Daphnia pulex: one gene and its partner. The protein of the gene in region 2 interacts with the protein of the main gene of each other region in a pairwise test. Links are inferred from orthologs where the notes say so. Each region holds a gene or a part of one and is shown on either strand. Other genes may lie near its edges.

Region 1 (4,252 bases), on a different chromosome or scaffold from region 2:
GGGTTGAAAACCAGTTGGAATTCGACGCCTTGCTTATTTGTTTCCATATTCATATTTCATCACGAAAGCAACAAAAAACCTACAGACAACAACATTTTTTACATAGCATAATTTACCAAGTTCTGCTTCCCTGACTCTTGTATACAACTGTAAAAAGTTAAAAATTTTGAATTTGAATGACATGTCTTTATTATCATTAATTGTCCATCAACGGCATATCATCACATGTGAAATATGTACCGGAAGAATTAAACCGAAATTTTTTTTTTTGAAAAACAAAAGGAAGAAACCGCAAAACTTTTTTATTTTGGAAGGGATATAGGGGGGAGCTGAAAGGGGGGGGGGAATATTAGGCATCCAATCGAGACTGTCAAAAAACGGAAACCGAGGGCTGGGAAATTTTGGGGATAGGGGAGAAAATAAGAATTTTGTGTAGTTCTTTTTCGGTAGTAATATGTAGGACGAGTAGTTTGGGAGTAAAGAAAATTTACATTGGTTAAGTCATTATCTTTTTCTCTCTCTCTTTCTTTTACTCTGTCCTTTTTTCTTTTGTTAGTTTAAATGGCGTGTTTTTTCGGGAGACTTGGTGTGGCGTAACGCCTGGTGTTTCATCCTCGAATCTACGTTGATTGACTAGGAGAGCTAAATCATTTCAAGCATGCAATGGATTTTTTTTAAAAATAATAAAAAGTGAAAAAAGAAAATTAAGGCAAGAAAATGAACAAAAAATCAGTAGGGAGAGAGAAAATAGAAATCGTAATTGATTAAGTAAATTTTTTTTCCTCGTGGAAAATAATCAATGGGATAAAGGATTTTTCACAAGTCATGAGAGTGTCATGAGGCACTTTTGATGGGAAGAAGAAGCCAACGGAGTGGGAAGGAAGAAGTCCAGCCTCATTGTCTTGAAAGGATACGGTAGACGAGGGGGGAAAAAAGTGTTTGGGGGATCTTGAATGTCTGGGAGTGCAAAAAACAAGACGGAGGATGCGTTACACAATGACAAAAGACGTCTTCATTTACGACAGGATGGCTATGCTCCGGCGTGAAATGTTGACATTGTCCATGCTGGCTGAGCGTTTCAAATTTGCTCGCAAAATATCAGATGCCAATTTATCCTCGCAGACACGAGACATGGCCTCGAGCTGTAATTTGAAAAAGGTTATTGCATCAGCTCACTTGGATGGCGAAATGTGAAACAATTTTTGTTTTTACCTTGGTTGCCTTCTCTTTCGTCAAAGGCTCAGCTGGGAAATTCATTTCATTCGCCTCGGCAAGCGTCCGCAAGTCAAAATAATATTTGGCGTAAACGCTCGACGGAATATTGATGTTGAATTGAAGCATTTCCAAAAAATGACGCTCCAACTCGTTCCTGATTGATAAAGGAAAGCATTAGGAGACCCGGTTCATTCAGATAAGCTTTTAATCTCTTGCTATGCCAACTTACATATCTTCCACTGTGATATCTTTGAGAATTTGGCAATAGTCAACATTCCAAACTGCTTGATCATCCCATACTTTGGAAGCTAATAGAATGGCACCCAGCACCACTCTTTTCCAATTTCCAGGGGTAATGTCGATTTCTGCGTAGGTTAATAATCTGAATTGGAAAGACAACAGGTTATTGCACTGCTGATTTCGTAATTCCTCGAATGACGTCCAACCTTTCCAAATAAATCAGGGTGATGATGGCACACTCGGCTGTCAGTTGGGCGGCGTTGAATAACGTTCTGACGAACTTGTAGACTTGGCGGTGGTCGGGATTGTACCGGCAGTAGTCATTAGAAACACCGTCCTTCTATAATAGTGAAATAATAAATTAGCAAAATTAAAGCTGACAACCAAAATAAGATGACGTCTACTGACCGACAAAGGATGAAGTTTCTCGTCAAAAATATCCATTTGCCTATCTGATTGTCGGTTCTTGATGTGATAGTAAATGGCTAGTGTCACACACTTGATAGTGTTCTTTAAATTAGGCTGACAAACAGTACTCTCATCTACATAGATGGTAGAACAAGAGTTGGATTTTTTCAAGGTCCCTCTATCATGGAGCTACAAATAAACAGAATGGAATGAGGAAATGGACACGGCAATAAATCAATATTAATGTACCTGAAGTTGGCTTCTCCTCCTTTCTAGTCCCTCTAGAGATTCCATACAAAATTTTGTATTCAGTATAATTAACATTAACCAAATTAAATATTATTTACCATGAATAGCAGCTCTTGATCTTTCCATAAATATTGTTTCAGCTTTCGGGTGGAGAGACGGGTCTGATTGCCAATCTTCAGGTTCTCTCTCACTGATATGCTGTAGGTTTGTTGTACTTTCGGCCCTGCAGGGTTCATGTGCTTCTAACACTCTTCGTTCAGATACATCATTGACTTTTCGTTGGGGTTGAGGACTGACGTTGTAATAACAGCAGCCCAATGAGTGTTTGTTACCCATGATAACTCTTGCTGATGTGGACAAAAAAATCACAGTTCTTCAAAATCTTTTGACAGAAAAAGACGAAATAAGTCTAGGCATGATCAAAATGAGTTCCGTCTGGTGAAGAAAAGGGCGAAAAAACACAAGTCAGTGCGATATCGCCATCGATATGAGGGAAGAATTTTTCTATCCGACTTACTGGAGACGGGTCGTCTTCGTCTGTTTTCTAGACATGTGTCGTTCAAATATCAATGCCTTCATGAGAACGGAAAAACAGGTCACGCAAAACGACCGGAAATAATATTCAATCAAATGTCAAACTTGAATTCTATATTTAATCACTTTATTACTCCATTAGGAACCGCTGCTTTGGAAAAGCCTGCAAGCTGCAAGCTGCCCCTCAACATTGCCACATTCATAAATGGACAAGCGTGAATTTAACAATTCAGCGTGAGTTCTTCTCGAAATCATTTATACAATAAAATTTAAATGAGTACTAATTTTTTAAAGTACAATCTATGGATAGTTTTAAATAAATGTATTTATTTAGCTATTTTAGAGGCGTTCTCCTATCAGTCGGTGTTCTTAGCCGACTCAAGAGCGCACTTGTGGCCACATCTTTGCATTGCCCAAAAAACAAAAATACTTCAATTGAAAATTACTATCAGATCAAATTATACCATATTTTTTTTACAAACAAGAGTTTTTTTTAAATTATTTATTCAATAATGTAGTTATGACAACGTATTGACATTTGTCAAGTACCAATCGATTCGCTAGTGATCGATTCGAAACGAATCGATTCACTTGTTCTTTTTACTTTTTAGCTCGTTCTGGAAACTCTTGGTTAAGCAAGTGTAATTTTGTTCTAGAAGAGAAGAGATTTCGGAAAAAGATCTACTGACTTCCTTCTCTTTTAAACACTTGCTACCATGGCAGAATCGGACGGTCGTGTTATCGAAGAAATCAACTTGGCCGATGACGACCAAAATGAAGTCGAGTGTTTGGAGGATTTGGTCACGTTGGACGGTACGGACTGCACTCATGAAGATGACATGATGGATTCGTCCCACGGGTCACAAGATGACATCGTCGATATCACACCACCACCTGAAGTGTAAGAACAATTACAGTTTATAAATTTTATGTCAAAGTGAAAAGTTCCCAGAACCTGCTGTTAAATAGCTTTATTCGTGTCATGTGATGACCACCGCCTTTCTAACTAGATTAACACATGTTTTCCCCCACAGGCTAAGAAAGAAAAAGTTCCATGAATCATGCAATAGAAATTTGTCTTAAATTATTGCTAGAATAATGTAGGTTGAAGACTTGTGTCTTTCTTCTACCCACGAAGCTGTTTGGTCTATCATTATTAAGGATGCTGTACTTGACCTGATAAATGCTTTGGGTGGAGGTCCATTTTACCATTTGTGGACGGGCATGATCTATGGATGTAGGTTACTCCCACAAGTAGGAAAGTGTTTGCTCATGAAAATCTGAAAATGGTTCATTGTTGGCATCATAGGCAGTGAAATTTTCTGGCAACACCTCAAATACTTCCTTTCTTTGTTACCTTCAAAATAATCAACAACTTTTTCTACATGGATTATAGTTAACTATCCATCCGCCAGATGTGAAACCAGCCAACGAGTTCTTTGGGTTCTCGTTCGTTTCATTTTGAACATTGTTTTGAACAACAAAAAAAGTCTCGTCAGTAAAATTCCCCATGACCCTGAAGTTTGTTTCATGTTTGGGCACGTGAATCTTTTCATCACGATAGGTGATTTTGTTTATTATCATCCCTTTTCGAGAAAAGTGTTCA
Region 2 (4,486 bases):
CGCAGCCCCCGGAGAGAGAGGTCGCAATCATGTCCGAAAAATAAAAGCGAAATCAATAAAATGATATGTCAAGAATAAAATAGAAAAACAAAAAAAAAGGGTTTTACGCAATAACAATTAAAGTAATGTGATAGTTACCGTTGGCTACGGAGGGAAGCCAGCAGATGGCGATCGATAGGATCAGTGCTGCCAAGATGATGGACTGCTGCTTATTCTTCATGGCGTCGGCGCTAAATAAATACACAGAAAACTTAACCGTGCGGATCTAATACACGACAGAGGACCGATCTCAGACGGACTGATGCGATTTGATGAACTCGTTCGTCCACTTGTCCCTATTTATACGCAACAACAACAATGAAAAGATCATATCGATCGACAGCCGAGCGTTTGGCTGGTCATTTCACACGTACGGAAAACCCCGCCAACTTTTGATTTGAATTCAATTAATAGCCTTGCGAAATTTTAAAATCATTTCCTGTCGATAGTGTCATAAGGTACACATATCCTTACAGCCTTGACACGTCATCAAAATGGCCGCTCATTTTCCAATTCGACCCAAATTTTCGACATTTGAAAGTCAATCGGAAATGAATCGGCAGAATTTCGATTTAATTTTGACGGTTTTTTCCAAAAGGAGCGTGACTCTAATCTTCCTACAGCAGCAAAGTCATTGTAATATAAAAACGTCACACGTTAAGACTTTTCTTTAATGAGGAAATATGAATATGACCGGGACTTAACAAAAGGAATATAACGACGGCGTGACTAAAAAGCTGCGGGTGGATTATTTATGCATTTCTCATCTCTCTACTTTGGTCGAATAAGAAAAGTTTCAATCTCACCCGCGCCTAGCGAACCATCAGACTATATAATAGTAGTCTGCCATACAACCATAAAGTTTGATTTATTTATATACGTTATAGAGCATTTGCGGGATGATGGGCTCCAGGGAGGTGTGTCGTCTATTATGGAATGGAAAAAGAGGGGGGGGGGGAAATATCACTCACTCACGACTGACACACACGACCAGAGCCAGCCACACCCTTTGAGCGATAGTCGTGTGTGTGTACAAGCAAAAGGTGAGTCGCCCATCACAAAAGGCGACAGAAAACCTTTGATTCCCAGCCTGGCTAGCACCACCAGTGTTTATCCAGGACACAATCTACTTGAAATCTATCGGCCATGGGAAAAGTTAATGAGCATATCTCTATACTATATAGCGCAGCTCATAGAAAGTTTCGTGTATTTTATAGATACCTTTTGATCTATTATTCATAGCGTTTCTATTGTATTAGCAAACACAATCGATGAATAATAAAGCACGACTACACAAACTCGGCTTGAGTATCATTATTTTTTGTGTATTTTTTTTCAAGGTGAAACTCCCGAAAAGAACCAGTTGTGTGACTCACAAAACATTTCTGGAATAGTTGGGAAAAAAATTTCATTTCGTGCATTCGCCTCGGGGGTGACATTAAATTTATGTAAATACTAACTCGTTTGGTCAAGATTTCACGAGGTAAAATTAAAAAAAAATGGAAAATATACATCTAATGTAGAGTAGTAGGTTATCTCTCCTGTTGTAAAGCCAGTTTTCTGTTGTTGTCCTTTTCTCTAACGGATCGATTTGACAGATGATCATTTGCCAAACGTGACAACGCTGTGCTTTAAAACACTCCCCCTCTCTTTTTTCTTTCTGCTGTACACACACATCAGAGAGAGGCTCACGGCATTATACACACACACACAATACTAGAAACATGGCTGCTTAGCACACACATACACACACTGTCGTCCGATTTTGACAGATACCACTCGTTAAAGTTGCACCAGTCTGCGTGAGAAAGTGAGCAGAAGGTAACGAGAAATCGGTGGCGATTTGTGAGGGACTTGCGCGTTCGTACGGAGCCCGCGCTCTGTTATCTTATCGGGCTTTGATTTGGCTTCCAAGTTTAGATTCGATCGCGGCCCCCTCCCACATCCTACTACTGCCCACTCGATCACGACTCGCAACCGCCCAATTTTTGTCGTCTGAGCTCCTTTGTGCTATCGGCTCGTGTGGGATATTCGCGACGAAAAGGGGAGTGCAACCTTAGCAATGACCACCATATCTCAAGTGTTGGCCAATCTCTACGTCACCATCAGTTGCTCATAGGAGAAATGCAGGTGCTCGGTCAGTGATCCGCCTAATACCCAAGAGTTTCCTCATTCCAGTTCGACATGTCGGAAACCAAGAACAAGCTCAGCAAGGTGGCCAGGCTGAGGAAACGACTCAGTGACAGCTTGGGCAGGCTGGCCTGTAAGTGTTTGCATCACCTTTTCCCCCCGTTGCCTCTTTTAATTTCTTATCTCTCTCTCTCTCGACAGCTCTGGCAAAAGAAGACTGGTCCATCAGCCGAACAAGATCTCAGACCAGACTCTCTCACATGGGCTACCGCAAGGACCACAACGGACTCAGCATGAGGGGCAAAGCAGGTTTCTCTGACGAGTATCTGGACAAGCTGGACAGCGAAACCAGGGACTCGCTGCAGGAGAATGGTGATGCATCTGGTGGGCAAGGTGAGCCAGACCTCCGATGGGAGAGGCTACGACTAAGTGACGGAGATTTGCTCAGCGCCAGCCGGGATCCAGAATTCGAAAAATTGAAGGTATAATTGAATCTAAAATTTGTTTTCCCCTGTTCCATTTCTTATGTTATTATTTTTGTATTAATGTCGACAGGGTTCTGGTGGTGCCGATTCCGGTTTGGGAAGTGACGATGCGTGTGCTCAAGATACCAGCAGCCGAATTGCTACGGTTGGAGGTGAACAAGTGGTGCTGAGACGTAGTAAGAAATCGTCCTCGTCCCACCTGAAACAGCGTCCCAAATCGGAGGTTTACCGACACCAGCCCATCGACCCTCACCTGGCCGGAGCCAGTGTCGTCCTACCCAGCGCATCCGCCATCAATTTGAAACCCTCCGAGTCTATTCGTCGCTCCAAAAGATACTCAGCCTTCGGGGTGTGTATTCAATTCATCTTTTTATTTTCATCCGTTCCTTTTTCTGCTTTTTATATGTTTCAAACTTTCCCGCCTTAATAGGGAACCAGTCCGTTTGGCAAAATCGAGAATTACCTACGACTGGAGCAGCTAGGCGAAGGCTCTTACGCCACCGTCTACCGAGGATTCAGCAAGTAAAAACTTTGAGTCGAGTTATTCGAAAATGTTGGTGACATTTCTGACCAATTTGTTTCTTTTAATTTTAGTTTGACTCAGCAAGTGGTGGCGCTGAAGGAAATTCGTTTGCAGGAAGAAGAAGGTGCTCCATTCACGGCCATCCGTGAAGCTTCTCTACTTCGTGACCTGCGTCACGCCAACGTCGTCACCCTGCACGACATTGTGCACACGAAAACGTCGCTAACGTTCGTCTTTGAATACGTCGTAAGTCTCGTCATTTGGCACATTCCGTTTGAATCGATTTTAATTTTTCTTTCTCTCGACAGCATTCGGATTTGGCTCAGTATCTGGAGAGGCATCCGGGCGGATTACAGGCTCACAACGTCCGTTTGTTCCTGTTTCAGCTCCTGCGTGGCCTCTCGTACGTCCACCGGCGCAAGATCCTCCACCGGGATCTCAAGCCGCAGAATTTGCTCATCAGCGAAGTCGGCGAACTCAAATTGGCCGATTTCGGGCTGGCCCGCGCCCAATCGGTTCCGTCGCACACCTTCTCAAGCGAAGTCGTGACCCTCTGGTACCGGCCGCCTGAAGTCCTACTCGGCTCAACGCAATACTCTTCGCCGCTGGACCTCTGGGGCGTTGGCTGCATCTTTGTCGAGCTCCTGACGGGCAGTCCGGCATTTCCCGGCGTCAAAGACGCTGCCGATCAATTGGAAAGAATCTTCAAGGTAAAATTTTTGCTCAATTTTGTATTAATTGACTTTGTTGATGAATTTTTGTGGGTCTCACAGATTTTGGGGACGCCGACGGAAGCGACGTGGCCGGGCGTGTCCCGTCTGCCGCTCTACAAGCCGCAGCGCTTGAACTTTTACCGGACGCAAAGGCTGGGCCACGCGTTCCCTCGTCTCTACGACATTAGCCAGGCCGAGAATTTGGCCTCGAAACTGCTCCAATTGCAGCCCAGCACCCGACTGACGGGCGAAACGGCCGTCCGGCACAAATTCTTCCAGGAGCTGCCCTCGCAACTATTTAACCTGTCTGACGGTAACAAAGAATTTAGGCTCCTTCTTATTCTGTTTTGAAATAATTTCAACAACCTTTTGAATTGTTTTGATTATTATTTTAATAGACGTGTCCATTTTCACGGTCCCGGGCGTCGGTCTCTACCCGGAAGAGCGGAAATTCCCTCCTGTCGTTCTCAGAGCGGCCCAGGAGTTGAAAAACAAGGCCAAATTTTAATTATTTTTTTAAATAACTAAAACACAAAACTAAAAAAAAAATTAAGAAAAAGAAAATTTCAGAAATGAAATTTTTATTTTCATTTCCT

What was found.
Region 1: the proteins of cyclin-dependent kinase 14-like (region 2) and cyclin-Y-like protein 1-B interact in a two-hybrid assay, tested with the Drosophila melanogaster proteins (2 studies listed by BioGRID). The link is inferred for Daphnia pulex from reciprocal best matches to the Drosophila melanogaster genes Eip63E and CycY.

Annotation. Positions count from the first base shown.
Region 1 is NC_060019.1:10,931,094-10,935,345, forward strand, and holds cyclin-Y-like protein 1-B, read right to left. Parts: upstream 2,834-4,252; 5' UTR 2,630-2,833; intron 2,495-2,629; 5' UTR 2,449-2,494; coding exon 2,211-2,448; intron 2,145-2,210; coding exon 2,113-2,144; intron 2,053-2,112; coding exon 1,864-2,052; intron 1,796-1,863; coding exon 1,662-1,795; intron 1,598-1,661; coding exon 1,445-1,597; intron 1,370-1,444; coding exon 1,213-1,369; intron 1,143-1,212; coding exon 1,017-1,142; 3' UTR 172-1,016; downstream 1-171.
Region 2 is NC_060026.1:753,226-757,711, forward strand, and holds the start of cyclin-dependent kinase 14-like, read left to right. Parts: upstream 1-1,682; 5' UTR 1,683-2,223; coding exon 2,224-2,302; intron 2,303-2,370; coding exon 2,371-2,651; intron 2,652-2,724; coding exon 2,725-3,003; intron 3,004-3,084; coding exon 3,085-3,176; intron 3,177-3,248; coding exon 3,249-3,423; intron 3,424-3,485; coding exon 3,486-3,887; intron 3,888-3,950; coding exon 3,951-4,203; intron 4,204-4,288; coding exon 4,289-4,398; 3' UTR 4,399-4,486. Other genes in the region: uncharacterized protein LOC124204587, read right to left, coding at 139-220.